Linked DNA regions of Lepisosteus oculatus. The protein of the gene in region 1 purifies or fractionates together with the protein of each later gene. This does not show direct contact. Links are inferred from orthologs where the notes say so. Each region holds a gene or a part of one and is shown on either strand. Other genes may lie near its edges.

What was found.
Region 2: the proteins of flcn (region 1) and fnip2 purify together in Homo sapiens (affinity purification with western blotting; 5 studies listed by BioGRID and IntAct, with this or other methods). This does not show direct contact. The link is inferred for Lepisosteus oculatus from reciprocal best matches to the Homo sapiens genes FLCN and FNIP2.

Annotation. Positions count from the first base shown.
Region 1 is NC_090718.1:1,061,502-1,072,020, reverse strand, and holds the start of flcn (folliculin), read right to left. Parts: upstream 4,180-10,519; 5' UTR 3,950-4,179; intron 955-3,949; coding exon 724-954; intron 1-723. Other genes in the region: ttyh1 (protein tweety homolog 1), read right to left, coding at 6,512-6,595, 6,894-6,972, 8,078-8,245, 8,388-8,527. UniProt on the Homo sapiens protein: Multi-functional protein, involved in both the cellular response to amino acid availability and in the regulation of glycolysis.
Region 2 is NC_090696.1:23,506,861-23,517,937, forward strand, and holds the start of fnip2 (folliculin-interacting protein 2), read right to left. Parts: upstream 4,274-11,077; 5' UTR 4,118-4,273; coding exon 4,032-4,117; intron 1-4,031. Other genes in the region: ppid (peptidyl-prolyl cis-trans isomerase D), read left to right, coding at 4,924-5,008, 6,605-6,745, 7,270-7,376, 7,578-7,766, 8,870-8,992, 10,221-10,327, 10,883-11,027.

The DNA.
Region 1 (10,519 bases):
GGGGTCGATACTGACACACTGCCCAGAGACACAGAGGGGTCGATACTGACACACTGCCCTCAGAGAGACAGAGGGGTCGATACTGACACACTGCCCTCAGAGAGACAGAGGGGTCGATACTGACACACTGCCCAGAGAGACAGAGGGGTCGATACTGACACACTGCCCTCAGAGAGACAGAGGGGTCGATACTGACACACTGCCCAGAGAGAGACAGAGGGGTCGATACTGACACACTGCCCAGAGAGAGACAGAGGGGTCGATACTGACACACTGCCCTCAGAGAGACAGAGGGGTCGATACTGACACACTGCCCAGAGAGACAGAGGGGTCGATACTGACACACTGCCCAGAGAGACAGAGGGGTCGATACTGACACACTGCCCAGAGACACAGAGGGGTCGATACTGACACACTGCCCTCAGAGAGACAGAGGGGTCGATACTGACACACTGCCCTCAGAGAGACAGAGGGGTCGATACTGACACACTGCCCAGAGAGACAGAGGGGTCGATACTGACACACTGCCCTCAGAGAGACAGAGGGGTCGATACCGACACACTGCCCAGAGAGACAGAGGGGTCGATACCGACACACTGCCCAGAGAGACAGAGGGGTCGATACTGACACACTGCCCAGAGAGACAGAGGGGTCGATACTGACACACTGCCCTCAGAGAGACAGAGGGGTCGATACTGACACACTGCCCTCAGAGAGACTCACGTCACACATGTCCGCTCTCTGACTGGCCGAACCGCTGGCTCGCATGGTGAGCCCCACTCCCTCTCCCTCCCGCTCCCTGTCCTGCTCTGGGGGGGGGCAGGGGCCGGCCGGGGGTGCCAGCGGCGGGTCGGGGGGCACGGAGGGAGATGGGGGGTGCAGAGCCTCTGTGCAGAAGAGGGTCCGGGGCCCGTGGAGCTCACAGAAGTGACACAGCGCCACCAGAGCATTCATCTGGGGAGAGAGAGACAGGTACTGAGAGAGAGAGTCCAGACTCTTACTGGACACACTGTATACACACACACACACCTGGAGTCCAGACTCTTACTGGACACACTGTATACACACACACACCTGGAGTCCAGACTCTTACTGGACACACTGTATACACACACACACCTGGAGTCCAGACTCTTACTGGACACACTGTATACACACACACACACACCTGGAGTCCAGACTCTTACTGGACACACTGTATAAACACACACACACACCTGGAGTCCAGACTCTTACTGGACACACTGTACACACACACACACCTGGAGTCCAGACTCTTACTGGACACACTGTATACACACACACACACCTGGAGTCCAGACTCTTACTGGACACACTGTATACACACACACACACACACCTGGAGTCCAGACTCTTACTGGACACACTGTATAAACACACACACACACCTGGAGTCCAGACTCTTACTGGACACACTGTATACACACACACACACACACACACACACACACCTGGAGTCCAGACTCTTACTGGACACACTGTATACACACACACACACCTGGAGTCCAGACTCTTACTGGACACACTGTATACACACACACACCTGGAGTCCAGACTCTTACTGGACACACTGTATACAAACACACACCTGGAGTCCAGACTCTTACTGGACACACTGTATACACACACACACCTGGAGTCCAGACTCTTACTGGACACACTGTATACACACACACACACACACCTGGAGTCCAGACTCTTACTGGACACACTGTATAAACACACACACACCTGGAGTCCAGACTCTTACTGGACACACTGTATACACACACACACACACACACACACACCTGGAGTCCAGACTCTTACTGGACACACTGTATACACACACACACCTGGAGTCCAGACTCTTACTGGACACACTGTATACACACACACCTAGAGTCCAGACTCTTACTGGACACACTGTATACACACACACACACCTGGAGTCCAGACTCTTACTGGACACACTGTACACACACACACACACCTGGAGTCCAGACTCTTACTGGACACACTGTATACACACACACCTAGAGTCCAGACTCTTACTGGACACACTGTATACACACACACACACACACCTGGAGTCCAGACTCTTACTGGACACACTGTACACACACACACACACCTGGAGTCCAGACTCTTACTGGACACACTGTACACACACACACACACCTGGAGTCCAGACTCTTACTGGACACAGTGTATACACACACACACCTGGAGCCCAGACTCTTACTGGACACACTGTACACACACACACACACCTGGAGTCCAGACTCTTACTGGACACACTGTACACACACACACACACCTGGAGCCCAGACTCTTACTGGACACACTGTATACACACACACACACCTGGAGTCCAGACTCTTACTGGACACACTGTATACACACACACCTAGAGTCCAGACTCTTACTGGACACACTGTATACACACACACACACACACCTGGAGTCCAGACTCTTACTGGACACACTGTATACACACACACCTAGAGTCCAGACTCTTACTGGACACACTGTATACACACACACACACACACCTGGAGTCCAGACTCTTACTGGACACACTGTACACACACACACACACACCTGGAGTCCAGACTCTTACTGGACACACTGTACACACACACACACACCTGGAGCCCAGACTCTTACTGGACACACTGTATACACACACACACCTGGAGCCCAGACTCTTACTGGACACACTGTACACACACACACACACCTGGAGTCCAGACTCTTACTGGACACACTGTACACACACACACACACCTGGAGCCCAGACTCTTACTGGACACACTGTATACACACACACACCTGGAGTCCAGACTCTTACTGGACACACTGTATACACACACACACACACCTGGAGTCCAGACTCTTACTGGACACACTGTATACACACACACACCTGGAGTCCAGACTCTTACTGGACACACTGTATACATACACACACCTGGAGTCCAGACTCTTACTGGACACACTGTATACACACACACCTGGAGTCCAGACTCTTACTGGACACACTGTATACACACACACACCTGGAGTCCAGACTCTTACTGGACACACTGTATACACACACACACACACACCTGGAGTCCAGACTCTTACTGGACACACTGTACACACACACACACACCTGGAGTCCAGACTCTTACTGGACATACTGTATACACACACACACACCTGGAGTCCAGACTCTTACTGGACACACTGTATACACACACACACACCTGGAGTCCAGACTCTTACTGGACACACTGTATACACACACACACACACACACCTGGAGTCCAGACTCTTACTGGACACACTGTATACACACACACACACACCTGGAGTCCAGACTCTTACTGGACACACTGTATACACACACACACCTGGAGTCCAGACTCTTACTGGACACACTGTACACACACACACACACCTGGAGTCCAGACTCTTACTGGACACACTGTACACACTGTACACACCTGGAGTCCAGACTCTTACTGGACACACTGTATGCACACACACACCTGGAGTCCAGACTCTTACTGGTCACACTGTACAGACTGTACACACACACACACACACACACACACACACACACACCTGGAGTCCAGACTCTTACTGGACACACTGTATACACACACACACCTGGAGTCCAGACTCTTACTGGTCACACTGTACAGACTGTACACACACACACACACACACACACACACACACACACCTGGAGTCCAGACTCTTACTGGACACACTGTATACACACACACCTGGAGTCCAGACTCTTACTGGACACACTGTACACACACACACACACCTGGAGTCCAGGACAGCTCTTAGAATACACTGAAATCATATGACAGGCGATTTAATTCGACTACACACTACTTGCTTGTCAGGATCAATCGTATAACTGAGGACATTATTGACGAAGTCTTACCTTCTCTGCGCTGAGCCTGGCGGTGTTTACTTAAGTAAACTACAAAGAGTTTGATGTCTGTCTCGTAGCAAGACCTAGAACTACCTCGACTGCTGCTACCGCCGATACTGCGAGAGCTGACAGCAACGCTAAAAATATTTCGAGCGACAGTTAAGATAACGACAGGTCTCCGTCCACTGTCAGCACAACAGACCCTTCGCCTCTGCTGTCATGTGATTCGAGGCGCATGATTCTGACGTCATGCTCTCAAATTACCGTAGTTCTTCAAAGATTTTCACCTCTAAAAAACAGCAAAACAACAGCTACCCTGACCGATTCCAAGATACATAAATCCACCTTTTCTGCACGAAGGAAACGCATCAGTTGCACGAAATGATATTTAGTTCACTTCTGTAATTACAGGTAAAAGGAAGCGCGTTTCATTTTAAGGTCACCATGACCGAGAGCGCGTTTTATTGGAGATTATCTTTCATGCGCTGATTGTACAGGCGGCAGTGTGTTCAGTGTGTAGTGTGTACATTGTGTACAGTTTTGTACTGTACATTATGCAATACGTGTATCAGTCACACACATTTTCATTTCCCCACAGAGACAGGGCACGTGTTTGTGTATCAGTGTGTGTAACCATACGTTTCATAGAGCATCTCCTGATGTGTGTCAGTGAGTGTAGCGATGTGTTTGTATCTGTATGTAGTGATGTCTGTCTGTCAGTGTAGCGATGTGTTTGTATCTGTGTGTACTGACGTGTGTCTGTGAGGGTAGCGATGTGTTTGTACCTGTGTGTACTGACGTGTGTCTGTGAGGGTAGCGATGTGTTTGTACCTGTGTGTACTGACGTGTGTCTGTGAGTGTAGCGATGTGTTTGTATCTGTATGTAGTGATGTCTGTCTGTCAGTGTAGCGATGTGTTTGTATCTGTATGTAGTGATGTCTGTCTGTCAGTGTAGCGATGTGTTTGTATCTGTGTGTACTGACGTGTGTCTGTGAGTGTAGCGATGTGTTTGTATCTGTGTGTACTGACATGTGTCTGTCAGTGTAGCGATGTGTTTGTATCTGTGTGTACTGACGTGTGTCTGTGAGTGTAGCGATGTGTTTGTACCTGTGTGTACTGACGTGTGTCTGTGAGTGTAGCGATGTGTTTGTATCTGTGTGTACTGACGTGTGTCTGTGAGGGTAGCGATGTGTTTGTATCTGTGTGTACTGACGTGTGTCTGTGAGTGTATTGATGTGTTTGTACCTGTGTGTACTGACGTGTGTCTGTCAGTGTAGCGATGTGTTTGTACCTGTGTGTACTGACGTGTGTCTGTCAGTGTAGCGATGTGTTTGTACCTGTGTGTACTGACGTGTGTCTGTGCTGACGGCCCCTGTGTAATGACCCCCACAGCCTCACACACACGGGACACAGACCCCAGTCTGGCAGAGATCGACTTTATTAGAGGCAGGAGAGGGGACAATACAGGGTCGTCATCTGGAAACACAGTCCACCAGCTCCCCCACACCTCAGAGCTGCAGTGACACTGGCCCGCCTGCGCAGCGCGGGGCGCTGTCCCCCGCCCGGACGCCTGCAGAGACCGCAGCGGCTCCGGGGAGAGTACAGCAGAAGAAGAATAATAATTAATAACACAATTAATTAAGCAGAAGTAGCACCTGTAGTGTCAGGAGCGCAGCTAGAGTTTTATTGCTATGAATACACAGTGATAAACAAGGGTACAGATCCCTTATCAGGTCTGACAGTGCTCGGTCCCTCTTTATAAAAGCTCATTAGAAGGCTAACAGGAGAAAAGGCTGGGTGTGTTGTGCAGTCAGGAGGACACCCTGGTGACACAAACATCAAACAGGAGCAGCGCCACTCTCGTCTCACTTACAGCTGACCACTGTCCACTCCTGTCCACTGTCCACCCCTGCCCCAGTCAGGCTGCCTGCTGTCCACTCCTGTCCCAGTCAGACTGATCAGTGCCCACTCCTGCCACGTTCAAACTGACCAGTGTCCACTCCTGTCCCAGTCAGACTGCCCGCTGTTGACTCCTGACCCAGTCAGACTGACCAGTGTCCACTCCTGTCCCAGTCAGACTGCCCGCTGTTGACTCCTGACCCAGTCATACTGACCAGTGTCCACTCCTGTCCCAGTCAGACTGCCCGCTGTTGACTCCTGACCCAGTCATACTGACCAGTGTCCACTCCTGTCCCAGTCAGACTGCCCGCTGTTGACTCCTGACCCAGTCAAACTGACCAGTGTCCACTCCTGTCCCAGTCATACTGACCAGTGTGCACTCCTGTTCCAGTCAGACTGCCCGCTGTTGACTCCTGACCCAGTCAGACTGACCAGTGTCCACTCCTGTCCCAGTCAGACTGCCCGCTGTTGACTCCTGACCCAGTCATACTGACCAGTGTCCACTCCTGTCCCAGTCAGGCTGACCAGTATGCACTCTGGTCACAGTCTGTCTGATGAAATGGAGTGACTCTGCTCCCTCCACCAGCCCAGCAGTTTTATAATTAAACCCGTCATTTACAAACACGGTCACAGCCTCTGGCCAGACGAGAGGACAGGACAAGGACAGGACCTTCAGTGTAAAGAGAGGATCTGGGAGTAGGTGGGGTTCGAGTTCGATTGGCTGCCTCCATAGCCAGTCATCATGCTCGGTGAATACTGTCCAATCAGAGAGAGGGAGGGGCGGGGCCACCCGCAGACAGAGGAGAGGGCGGAGTCGGAGCGATCCATTGCGGAAATCCAAGAGGGGTGCCCCAGGAATGAAAGGAAAGAAACAAAATAAAAGGAGTTACTCAAGTAAAAGCAAGATGAAGATTCATGTTATGAATGATCCCCGAGACTAAGCGACTGGGCTTTACAGATGAAAAGGACTTCAGGTGACTACTCTCCAATTAGAGAAGGATTCTGTCAATCCGTTCAGGAGAGTAACCACCTGCCACCAGAATGGGAGCCTCACCGAGGGGGGCGGGGACTGCCTGTCAATCAAGGGGAGGCTCTCATATCCAGGATTGCCATTGGAGGAAGTGCTTGGAGTCCTGAGAGAGAGAGAGGGGTTAATACAGACACACAGGACACTCCAGTACATTAACACTGCACTGAGAGAGAGAGGGGTTCATACACACACACTGACTGGACACTCCAGTACATGAACACTGCACTGAGAGAGAGAGGGGTTCATACAGACACACTGACTGGACACTCCAGTACATGAACGCTGCACTGAGAGAGAGAGGGGTTCATACAGACACACTGACTGGACACTCCAGTACATGAACACTGCACTGAGAGAGAGAGAGGGGTTCATACAGACACACTGACTGGACACTCCAGTACATGAACACTGCACTGAGAGAGAGAGGGGTTCATACAGACACACTGACTGGACACTCCAGTACATGAACACTGCACTGAGAGAGAGGGGTTCATACAGACACACTGACTGGACACTCCAGTACATGAACACTGCACTGAGAGAGAGGGGTTCATACAGACACACTGACTGGACACTCCAGTACATTAACACTGCACTGAGAGAGAGGGGTTAATACAGACACACTGACTGGACACTCCAGTACATGAACACTGCACTGAGAGAGAGAGGGGTTAATACAGACATACTGACTGGACACTCCAGTACATTAACACTGCACTGAGAGAGAGGGGTTAATACAGACACACTGACTGGACACTCCAGTACATGAACACTGCACTGAGAGAGAGGGGTTAATACAGACACACTGACTGGACACTCCAGTACATGAACACTGCACTGAGAGAGGAGACTGGGTTGAGATCATTCCTAATCCTATTGAAATGAAGCATCATTTCTGTCTGTCTGTCATTAAATCAGAGGAAAGTACAGACAGACAGACTGACTGACTGACCCACTGCCTCAGTAGTATTTTCACACCCTCTGACCAGGCAAACAGTGTCTGTATCTGTGTGTGTATGTGTAGCTGTCTGTGTCTCTGTGTGTGTGTTTGAGTCTCTGTATCTGTGAATTTGTGTATTTGTGTGTCAGTCTGTGTGTACGTGTCAGATAGTGTGTGTGTGCATGTATCAGTGCGTGTGTCGTTGTGTGCGTCTAACGTTTGTGTGTAGTGGTGTGTGTGCGTGTCGGTCTGCCTGTCTGTTACTCACGGGAGGGGGGGTGCGCTGGAAAAGGGCGGAGCCCAGCTGGCCCCCTGGTAACTATAGAAACCAGGTAGGACACCGCGCTGGGAGCCCGCGGGCGTCTGTCTACGTGCCTGGTGAGAAGGAAAGGGGTCCTCGCTCTCACTGTCGGAGTCTTCATAGTTGTCCGAGTCGCTGCCAGGTGGGAAAAGACAGAGAAAGAAGTTTATGAAGAACACCCCTGAAGCAGGAGTTTTAATAACAATTGAATGCCTGACGAGATCGAGGAGCTCTAGTCTAGCACAGCGATGACAGGCAGAGCCGCGGACGCCCTGACCTGGAGAAGCCCCTCCAGGCGCCGGGCAGGGAGCAGAGCAGAGTGGTGAAGGACACAGCAGACAGCAAGGAATAGAGACACAGATACAGCAGCCCCTCCATCCCATCATAGCACAGGCCCTTCAGAGAGTCCACATAGTCCTGAGACACAGAGAGACACTGGTCAGCACAGTGACCCTGACTGACTGGACACTACAGCACAGAGACACTGACTGACTGGACACTACAGCACAGAGACACTGACTGACTGACTGGACACTACAGCACAGACACTGACTGACTGGACACTACAGCACAGACACTGACTGACTGGACACTACAGCACAGACACTGACTGACTGGACACTACAGCACAGTGACCCTGACTGACTGACTGGACACTACAGCACAGAGACACTGACTGACTGACTGGACACTACAGCACAGTGACCCTGACTGACTGACTGGACACTACAGCACAGTGACCCTGACTGACTGACTGGACACTACAGCACAGGCACTGACTGACTGGACACTACAGCACAGAGACCCTGACTGACTGACTGGACACTACAGCACAGAGACACTGACTGACTGACTGGACACTAGAGCACAGTGACCCTGACTGACTGGACACTACAGCACAGAGACACTGACTGACTGACTGGACACTACAGCACAGAGACACTGACTGACTGGACACTACAGCACAGAGACCCTGACTGACTGACTGGACACTACAGCACAGAGACCCTGACTGACTGACTGGACACTACAGCACAGGGACACTGACTGACTGACTGGACACTACAGCACAGAGACCCTGACTGACTGGACACTACAGCACAGAGACACTGACTGACTGGACACTACAGCACAGTGACACTGACTGACTGACTGGACACTACAGCACAGTGACCCTGACTGACTGACTGGACACTACAGCACAGTGACCCTGACTGACTGACTGGACACTACAGCACAGAGACCCTGACTGACTGACTGGACACTACAGCACAGTGACCCTGACTGACTGACTGGACACTACAGCACAGAGACCCTGACTGACTGACTGGACACTACAGCACAGAGACACTGACTGACTGACTGGACACTACAGCACAGTGACCCTGACTGACTGGACACTACGGCACAGAGACACTGACTGACTGGACACTACGGCACAGTGACCCTGACTGACTGACTGGACACTACAGCACAGAGACCCTGACTGACTGACTGGACACTACAGCACAGTGACACTGACTGACTGGACACTACAGCACAGAGACACTGACTGACTGGACACTACAGCACAGAGACCCTGACTGACTGACTGGACACTACAGCACAGTGACCCTGACTGACTGACTGGACACTACAGCACAGTGACCCTGACTGACTGACTGGACACTACAGCACAGTGACTCTGACTGACTGACTGGACACTACAGCACAGAGACACTGACTGACTGACTGGACACTACAGCACAGAGACCCTGACTGACTGACTGGACACTACAGCACAGAGACACTGAGTGACTGACTGGACACTACAGCACAGAGACCCTGACTGACTGACTGGACACTACAGCACAGGGACACTGACTGACTGACTGGACACTACAGCACAGAGACCCTGACTGACTGGACACTACAGCACAGAGACACTGACTGACTGGTAACTACAGCACAGAGACACTGACTGACTGACTGGACACTACAGCACAGTGACCCTGACTGACTGACTGGACACTACAGCACAGTGACCCTGACTGACTGACTGGACACTACAGCACAGAGACCCTGACTGACTGACTGGACACTACAGCACAGGGACACTGACTGACTGACTGGACACTACAGCACAGTGACCCTGACTGACTGACTGGACACTACAGCACAGAGACCCTGACTGACTGACTGGACACTACAGCACAGAGACACTGACTGACTGACTGGACACTACAGCACAGTGACCCTGACTGACTGGACACTACAGCACAGAGACCCTGACTGACTGGACACTACGGCACAGAGACACTGACTGACTGGACACTACGGCACAGTGACCCTGACTGACTGACTGGACACTACAGCACAGAGACCCTGACTGACTGACTGGACACTACAGCACAGTGACACTGACTGACT
Region 2 (11,077 bases), on another chromosome or scaffold:
ACCCCATCTGCTTTGTAGACAATTTCATTTAAGAGCTAAAATAAATCACCTCACTATTGCAATAATTACAAATACAAAAAAAAACATTTTCCAAGTTAAAAGAAATTCTGGCTAGTTTATATAGAAATGGTCATATTTATTAGTTGGTGTTTTTTCTAAATTAAACATAAGCATTACATAGATTTTCCACAATGCTTTCGCATACTATTTATTTCAAATCATAAGAAGCATAATATTAATATTAAATAGAACTATATCAGTATTCGATATATTGCTGAAAATCACTGATATTTATTGACCACAATTTATTGCACTTATATTTACCATTACTATATAAAAAACATATTACAGTTTCATACTGTAACCTAAATATTTGTACATACAAGATATATATATCTAATACTGAATCATGGCTTATAGTCTTCATCTCCGATATGAAAACACAGCACAATAATGTTTATCATTCACAGTAAAGTATGAATTACCAGATAAAACAAGAAATAGGAATTTGTTCATCACCCAACATTCAAGAAAAGGGTTATGCTTTTAAATGACTTTCATAAGACTTTAAGAGGAATGATTCAAAACAAATTCACATGACCAAAGGTGTTGCAAATTTGTGATTAAGCAACTCCCATGTTTTCACCATTGACTCACAGCAAATAAACAGTTATCTTAATGCAATAATGTTTTACACACTGAATGGAAGCTACTTTCAGAGAAACAAGTAAAAAGAAACTAGAAAAACCATTTCAATACACATTTAGTTTAAAAGATCTGTTTTATTTAGAGTCATACGAGGTAGCTTGAAGAAGTTTCACAGACATGCAGTTTGAATGGTTAAGCTTTCGTGTTTGCTGTATTTTCACCTTTCATTCAGCTAATCCATGGCAGCACAGGCTAAAGGCAAGTAAGGTAACTCGGACAGTCATAACATGTATATTCATGTAAGAAACCTCCCATGTAAAAGCAAAGTTATGCCTCAATTAGTGATGCTGTGACATCATCATTTGGTGGCTAATGCAGTACTCTGTTTAAGTTAATGTAAAAATGAATGATATCCAACTATAACATTAAAAATAATATTCATTGACCTTGAAAAGCAGAGTAGTTCAAAGGTAAAGATGCCTTACATTACAGTATTCAGTGAGGTTCCCATTTATAACTCTCAGTTTCGAATTGTGGCGGAATTACAGGAAAACCAAGAATCACAAGGGAGATTTTTAGTCATGGATTCGAAAAATGATTTGAAAACATGGTTCAAATAAGATTTATAGCCGCTTTGGGAAGAAAAAAAAGTGAAGTTTTCATACAAGTGCTAGAGTGCATAAATCTGTATAGTGGGTAGAGTAACTAATGTAAAAAAAACATTTTCTTTATTCTAAAGATATAAAGAAAACAGGATCATAAGAAAATTTAAATGAGAGGAACCACTTCAGATCTTTATTTGATTGCTAGTAGCTAAGCAGTCCAATGATTTTACTTGGCTGCTTCTTGAAAGAAGCCAGGGACTCAAATACAACAACAGGGCAGGGGAGTCTGTTCCAATCTCCTACAGACCTTTGTGTAAAAATGTGTCTTTTGTTCTGTTTTAGTGTCCCATCCTGTTTGTGTTTCACCATCACTAAGGAGGCCAATTATGTGTACTTTGTCCATTTTAGAATTTTGGATACATTAATTCGATCTCCTCAGACATCTCTGTTCTCTAAACTAAAAAGATTCAGTTCTCCAAGTCTGTCATTTTAGGGAATTCCTTTAAGAGCAGGAATGTTTCTGGTTCCTTTTCATTGGACTGATTTCAGAGCAGTAAAATCTTTATTATAACATGGTGACCAAAATTGTACATTTTGTTTCTATTAGTGCATTGTTCATTTTAATAACATCCCTTGATTTTAAATTTGACATGTTTATCTATATAGCCTAATATTCTGCATGTCTTTTTCTTCCCCACCACATTGTCTAGAATAGTGGCACACAACTCCAGGTCTGCATCTGCAGGTTTTTCACCTCTGCTCTTAATGGCCTAAAGGGTTAATGATTAGCTTAATTAGACAAGTTTAACAAACTGGAAAGAGATTTTCAGCTGTTGATTGAAAGAGAGCCTAGAAGTGTCTCTCATATGTTGCTTCTCCAACTTCACAGCCTCCCCCACCATATACGCATAGCTTTGTTTCTTCTGCCTGCACTACCTGCATGTAACACTCCGTACTTGTTTATATTAAATGTCATCTGCCAGGTGGTTGCCAAGTCTTGCATTTTGCAATGTTGAACATCTTTCATAAGTCCTATACTGTTTGCTTATCCTTCTTTTTGGCATCACCTTGCTTGAATTGTTTACCAAAATATAATTCTATCTAGATATCAATGCTGATATCAGTTTAGAAGAGCAGTGGTCCTGCAGTGTCCTACCTATATTTAAATCACAGTGAAAAAAAATTAGTGGAGTATTTACTCTTTTCTGTAGTGTCTTTGATCATCTGTTACAAACTGAAACATGTGACAGTCCAAATGTATCCTTTGTCCATCTATCCATTTTCTAACCACTCCAGCTCCCCTGCAACTGTGAATTGGATGGAGTCTTTCCCAGAAAGCAACAAGCATAAGGTGAGACACACCCTGGATGGGACACCAGTCCATCACAGGGCACATAAAGATGTGCACTTTCACAACAGGACCAGTTACCTAGAACCATCTTAATCCACCTATAAAATTTTAAAATTCTTTAAAAGGTCTTTTAACATTAAAGTTTGTTTCCCAGTGACTGTTCCAATAGCTGGTAGACAATAGACAATCCAATAGCTATAATAATGTATTATTACTACATTACATTATTATAACATAAGCTGGAACATGGGATTTGATCTACACACTTGGCTCCTTCCCAGCAAGAATGGCCAAGAGCAGTATATCGGAGATCCCCATGTCCCACTTGCTCTGTGATTACACTACATATTAACTTAAATAGCTGCATGCTACAACATACATGAATTGTCTACATCACAGGTCCATTGTCAATGTAGTTCTCCATTCCCCCCCCCCCCATGTTTCAGCACTTTCATACAATACATCCTGGGATTGTGTATAAATAGGCCTTTTTAGTACATCCCAATCAGCAGTTACAATTTTAAATCACTTCAGTGGAGATGAAACGTTTCTTTCTGCAAGTCATTAAAAGCTTAGAACATTAATCACTGAGGAAATAATTAGAACATACTATATTGTGCTACTACAGGTTGCATTGTTGGCCAACTAACTCCATGACATTAAACCACAGAATATTTTCAAATGTCCCTTCAACAGTCATCAAACTGATTTTGGGGAAGCTCGTTTTCACCTTATGAAGTAAAACGATCACTCTTTAATTTATGATAATAACAGAATTCAGTCCCCAGAGCGTCTAACTTCCTGCGATTATTTTCTAAGAAAAGTAAAACAAGAAACGCCAGCCGACGCAAAACAATAGTCCAGAGTAACGAAATACATAGGCCCCGAGACACTTCTAGAATGTGGAGTGCCTGCTTAAAATAGATAAATTACAAAAACCCTAATTTAATCATTTCTACTTAAAAACGTCCTGGGTGGAACTTTCACGAAATATTACACCAGTGGTACTACACCACCTAGCTACAGACAACATAATCACAAGCTTGCACTAATCGCCTTTATTGCAAATGTATCTTAGCAATCCATTTCTAGAATATTTTCTAATAACACGCACGTTAAACAACAACCTACATATATGAATTGGCAACAAGTAGTCCTAATCGAAAACAAAATCCCATACAAGCCATTACACATTACGTCAGTTGTAGATAGACTGTGAGCCTTCGCTCACAAGGTTTAAATCAATATACCAAGACAAATTCCCTTTTAAATGCAGAGCGCACAAACTCATCGAAGCCCGCTCCATATCATTTTGCACCACTGCGTGTTTCATTCATTGTTAAGCAATTTGAAGAATATTGTCTACGCACAATCAGTACAACAACATGTATTTTTGGCGTTTTGAAAACAATTGACTTCAAACTCACCAAAGCTCGGGTCCTTTATAACCCTTCGATGAAGAAGCCGCGTTGGCTCTTTTGTTAAAAAGCTTCTGAAGCAGCGTAGGAGCCATGGCATACCGTTTTAAAGGTATCGAGCTCGTCTGCTTTGGTTTTGGTGCGTGGCCATGGTAAAGAGTTGAAATAGAGTAACTCCATGGATCGGTATCGGAGTCATATGACAATGTGAGTGTTCAAAGGCAGGAGTGCAGCCTCAGCCACACACAGGAATTAGGCACAGATCGCTCCCCATTGGCTACAACAAGATCACACACACATACGGCAAACCTGTCAGCCATTGGACCCTTAGTTCAGCAAATGCCGCTGGGATGTGTTAAAGAGGAGCACTCTAAAGCCATTGCAATTAAAATGATCAGACCACGTGTGCTTAATATTGACGAAGTTTATTACTTTTTCCATACTGAGGCCCTTTTGATTTCATATTTATTGAAGTACTTGTTTAATGTCTGTCATTCCTTGAAATCCTACATTGCTCCCTTTTTCCCAGTTTCTCAGTACTGTATATTTGGTCCAAATACGACATGAAATGTAAAATACTTCAGATATCTACTGTATCTACTAAAAAAGTCACGATTTGTCGTAATACAATGACTGTCAAATTCTAAAACAAAAAAGATGTGTATTTTAAAAGAGATCACGGCAGATTTTCACTGTAATCTACTACAGCACGTCTGCTCTTCCCCTCCCGCCCTTCACTCTCGGAATTGTCCAGAGAACATTTCTCGCGGCGTCAAGGCCCCGGATGTCTACAGCTCTGCGGCGGAAGTAGTGTTTCTGGCTGTTGGCAGCACACGACCCGGCTACATAGGATAAGAGAAGGACGGTTCTGAAGAGGTTGCTTTATTATACCATAGGCAAAATGTCAAATCCCACGCTTCAGAGTAAACCTATGAACCCAGATAACCCTCGGGCTTTCTTTGATGTGGATGTAGGAGGAGAGAGAGGTAAGGATTTTTATTGACCAACAGACACTGCATGCCGATCGTCGAGACGCATGTTTCAGATATTCCTGGACATTATTACTATACATATACACGAGCACTTGATTTGTTTAATATTGTTTTATAGCTTTGATCTGTAATTATTTAAACATTTATTCTTCTTTAAAATGTGTGTTTTCGTGTCGCTTTCAAGAGCACTATGCACACTGCTAGCTAAATTTATGTATATATACATCCAGGCGGACAATAAATATAGGGATACCTATAGACATTTAATTGCAAATTAAAAAAAAAGAGTGCACGTACTCTAGGCATTGGACCAGACACGTTTGTTGTACCTGTCTGTTTTGTATTGATTCGATTCATTCATTCTCGCAAAGCTTATTTTACTGGTTGCACCCAAATGTCTGTTGAGACAAGTCCCTGAGACAAGCAATGGCTTCTGGTCTGGTTGTTGAGGTTGTGTTTTTCTCCTCTGAGTCTGTGGATTGGGGAGTCCTCTAGGATGTGCTGCATAGTTTGCTCCATCTCACAGGAACACAGAGGGCTTTGTTCCTGTTCAAGACATGGACCATGACTATTTCTAAAGTGAGAGCTGATCACTTTTTTTCTTGAGAAGTGAAAACCACAGGATTGTTGGGTAGGGCATGTGATGAGGTGCTTGTCTGTTACGCATGGTGATTCCCTTCCTTGATCCCAGCTGGCGTCTGCATTGAAGTCTTGCTACGGAGGGTTTTTCCAGACTGGTTTTCTTGAACGCAGATGTATACTTGGTGGATTAAATATGTCTCCGTGAAGTGGCAGGTGAAGAGCATTTTGGACTTTTTAAAACATTTTGTGGGTTATTATGAGTCATTGGATATGTGGAGGAGTGATGTTCACTAGATCAGGGAGGCAGGAGAGTGGGGTTGAGTATAGGGCTCCAGTGATGATATGCATGGTGGCTGGGTGTCTACTCTGTGAGTATGTGATGATCAGTATTCTGCTGCTGAGAAAGAGTGCAAGAGCTGAGGTCCTGAGGATGGTAGTGGCAGCTCCCAGTGTTGTACCAGCAAGTTTGGAGATCAGATTGTTCCTTGTTTTGATCTTAGCTGCTGTTCTCCTTAAGGGGTCTGGAAGACTCCATGGTATTTTGGACTACGATAATGCTGCATTTTCTGATGGGTCATTTGGTTAAATAGACTCGATACTGTTTTTGAGGGGCTTGGTTTGACTTCATATGTGTTTCAATACTGTTCAAGTTTGAACATGTCCTCATTTAGGACCTGTTCCAGGGTATCGCAAATGGGGTCACCCATTGTTCCAGGATCACTTGGAGCAGACATTTTAAGCCCTCTAGGACAAGAGTTCCCTTAATTTAATACTATTTGCATTTGTGATCAATAACTTATAAGTGGTTACAGTCATTAAAAATTAGCTGGCCTTTACAATGTGGTGCATTAGGGCTCTCCAGGACCAGGTGTACTGACCCTTAATAGATGTACTAAGTACTTAGTAAATGGTTTGTCTCAAATTTAAACTTGAGATGGTCCCTGCATGGTTAAAATGTCTTAACTGATTATACATTACAGGTATTAACTATAATCCTTGGCATTTTAGTTGGGCGCATTGTGATGGAACTGTTTGCTGACGTTGTCCCTAAAACTGCTGAAAATTTCCGAGCCCTGTGCACTGGAGAAAAGGGAATAGGTGCAACGACTGGAAAACCACTCCATTTTAAAGGATGTCCGTTCCACAGGAGTGAGTATTCGTTTAATATTTAAACTTTACAAACCTTACCATCCATTGAAGACATATAGTTGCAGATGGAAGTACTGACATTCTCATTCCTTGACACGGGTATAAAGTGTAAAAATACAGTTTGTTGAACTGTACATTGTTCACAGTTTTAGAAAAGGCAGTTACTTGTTTGCTGTACCCAACTGGTTTGGATTAGCCAGTTTTTACATCTCGGCTCATAGCTATGAACTGTGCACAGAGGAGAATGAGGAAGAGTTGGCAGACTCCCCTTCCCACATAACTTCTCTTTTAACATGTTGCAGACAAAATATCCCTCTTCCACCGGTTAAGTGCTGATAGGAGGAGAGATGCGTCTGCAAGCGCCCAGGAGACGCTAAGGGCTGCTGTGTTGCTGAGAGACAGAGAGTCAGAGCTCTGGCCGACTAATTCCATATTTTCTAATCATAATGTACAAAACTTTCCCAATTGACAAAGGATTACTGAATGTGATTTCTTTAATAATACATTGGTACATTTTTTTTAAGTTATAAAGAAGTTCATGGTCCAAGGTGGAGATTTCTCCAATCAAAATGGTACTGGAGGGGAGAGTATTTACGGAGCAAAGTTTGAAGATGAAAACTTTCACTATAAGGTAAGTCACAATTAAGGTGAAAATTCGTATTCGGTACCTTATGTGGTTACAATGATTTAACTTGTAGATTGTTCTGGGGTGCAGGCCTAGAAATCGGTAAAGCTACTCTGTGACAATGTCCATTGTAAAAAGCGCTATACAAATAAAACTGAATTCAATTGAATTTCATCATAAAGGTCTTTTCTAATTTTTCTGTTACAGCATGACAAAGAAGGATTGCTGAGTATGGCCAATGCTGGCCCAAACACAAATGGCTCTCAGTTCTTCATCACCACAGTACCAACTGAACACCTTGATGGGAAACATGTAGTCTTTGGACAAGTATTGAAAGGCATGGGTGTGGTCAAAATCCTTGAAGCAATGGAGACTAAAGATGATGCACCTGTCAAGGTATGGAAAATGAATTCAATATATTCTATTTTTGAGAACATTAGTTAATTAAACAATTTTTCTTGTTAATTGTGTAGAGGTTTAGCCATTGTGGTTAACTTTGTTGTCACAGCTGAAATTACAACTAGAGTAACAACTTTATTCCTGTTAGCATTTCATTATATGCCTTGTGTCCTTATCTTTGTTGAAAGTTTTCCATGCAAATAAATATTCTGAATTTTATTATGGGATTGTATGCATTAAATGGATCAAATATGTAGAAGCAAATTGCAATTATTTTTTCTGCATCTTCAAAGTAAGCGCTGTCATGTGTATTTGCCACGGCATGCTGGTAGCATTTTTAATGTGTTCTTAAATTTCTTCTATTTATAACTGTCCTAAGTTTTACCTTGACGTATTTGCTTTCACAGTGAGGCATTAATAGCATTTCTAATGATAGCTAATTAGCTCCGGTTTGTATTTGCACTGTATTGCTCATCTGATCTTACCCCATATTTTAAATTATTAATTTAAGTAAATAATTATTTATTTGGGATACAAATCTGTTTGTTTTTTTTTTGTCAGTCAGGTGCCCAAATCTTTTTTGTTTTGTGGGTACCTTATTTGGTAACCTTGATTTAACTTGCAGATTGTGATGAAATTTGAAAGTACAATTTTGACTTCAAATCCCTTTGTTAAGTGAGAGTAAACCATTATACACATCATGCCCTTAATGACTGATCAGTGATTAATTGGGGGGGAGGGTTGCAAGAACCTTATTACTAACCACAGCAAATTATTGCAGTAATTTTTAAACAGGCATTTTGCCATTTGTGCCTGGTCATTTTGTTCTGTTTTGTAAAATTAAGAGCTAAAACATAATGACCCGGGTGCTTGGATCATTGGTTTGACTTTTTTTGATACATTTATTTATCAAAACTGTCACCTTAACTACTTTCCAGGTCAAGAGGGCTTTGTCTGTGTTTGTGTGTTTCAGTTGCTGCAGTACTTTTCCCTGCTGATTGACTTACACAGATGAAAATAAGTATAGTTTGTAGATTTCAGCTGATGAATCCTGCCCAAGAAGGCCTGGGCCTAATCTATTTCTTTGAATCCTTGGAAAGCCTTGTGTTATAGCTGACTGTGGGGAGCTTAAGCAAGGAGATGACTGGGGAATTGCTCCAAATGATGAAGAAGGGGATACCTATCCTGATTTTCCAGAGGACTCAGATATTCATTTCAAAGATGTAAGTACAGTCTGCTGACTTTTACCCTTTACATTTTCATGGTTTTGTATTATGAACATTGAGAAAAAAGCAGCATTACATACTGAGAGTGACAGAGTACGATAAAACTAACTTAAAAATGTCCCAATGTATTATTAAAGAGAGCTGAGCATAAGAACAGTTATAAATGATAGGTCACTTGGCCTACCCAGCCCAATAAATCTTAAGAGTCTCTGGGTGCGCCTGAACCGTCTACTTTTCAGGTAAAAGCCAAATGGACTAACAATTGCATGTAACACAAGCTGCAGCATTGTAACAGTGGTACATTGATGAGGTGGATCCGTTTTACTCATAGGCTGTTTTCAAACGCTCACTTTGTTGTGCATCTCAAATAAGTCTACTGCTTTTGTGTGGGTGGATACCAGTCAGAGGCTTTATGTGGTGCTGTAACTAATTTTAAAGTACATTCTTTTGGAAATTCTGAATGAAAGCCTCTGAAAATAAGTAAAATGACAAGTTTATCTGGTCATTAAAAGAATATACGGACTGGACAAGTATTGTGACCATAGTGAAAGACAAAAAGGAGAAGCGGAGACTGACATATTATAGGTTCAGGAACCACAGCCTGGATATAGAAACTGTGTGACACAGGCAAACTTGGCTAACTAGTTAGACCAGGCTGTGTTCCCACTATCAGTAAAGAGAAACAGACAGAGATGCTCTTTCTGCTACACTGCAAGAAGTTCTCAGAGATTAGACAAAATATTCTTACCTAAAATAAGGAATCTAAACAGAATTACTACACTTGCTAGAATCACAACATCCATCAATCCAACTAGTAGAAGAGCAGGAAACTCTCTGGAATTGGCAGGGTATTAACATATATCCTGTTATAGTCTGTTATAGAGGAACAGAGATTGAGCCTCAGATATACTGATTATTTTAAATGTTTTGATAATTGTTATTCCTATGTCATCACTTTTATTCAGGTTTGAGCATCTGAAGAAGGCTCCACGGCCGAAATGTTGTGTTTGCTTTCTTCTCTTTTCAGCATGGAATAAACCTATTACTTGTTCCGTGGTATTATGATTAGTATTATGAATAAAGTTTATTATTATAGCACCATTAAAGGTGGCTTCTCAAACCACTTTAGTGTTTTAAAATCTTGCTTTACATTTGACTTTAATGTTTGTTTTCTATGGCATCATTTTCTGTGTTTAATTTATATTTATATGTTTTATTTATATAGGTTGACAAAATCCTGTCTGTTGCTGAAGATGTGAAGAATATTGGAAACAATTACTTCAAATCTCAAAACTGGCATATGGCTAATAAGAAATACTCTAAATCACTAAGGTGTGTTAATTATTTCTGATACTTCATTCTTGTTTATGTGTCCTACAGCATTTTAAGATTAAGGTTTACATTATACCTTCTGTTTGATAATAAAAAATAGTTTATTTTTATTATGATCAGGCCTACCGTACATTACAAAAAGAATTGCTTTATTATGGTCAGTAACTGGAAATAATTCGCAAATTGGCATCCGTTTTTCTGTGGTCATTTTCAGGGTTATGATGTTTTTAATTTATGTAATAAACCAAGAGAGAAAATGAAAATATTTTGAACCAGTGGCAGAAAATATCACAGTATATTGAGGATACATACCTTGTTTTTAAGATAATAAGGTTTGTACTAGAATGGGAAAGATTACAAACAAGAGAAGTTCATTCAGCCCATCTCACCCATTTGGTGGTTAATGGCTAATTGGTCTAAGTATCTCATCCAGTGATTTCTTGATAGAAGCTAGGGTATTGGCTTTTAATAAGATTTAATAAGACAGGCATTTCCAGAATATGGAATAATGTACTACTCCTGCCAGTCATGCTGAACTGTGTGTGTTTGTTGAAGGTATCTGGAGGTGTGTGGAGATGTAGTCGATGATGAGAATGAACAGAAGAAGCTTGAGCCTGTAGCCTTGAGCTGCATTCTGAACATCGCTGCCTGTAAGCTTAAGATGCAACTCTGGCAGGAAGCCATCGACAGCTGCACTGAGGTAAATGTCGAAGATGGTGAAATACTAGAACATGAAATGGAGCATCTGCC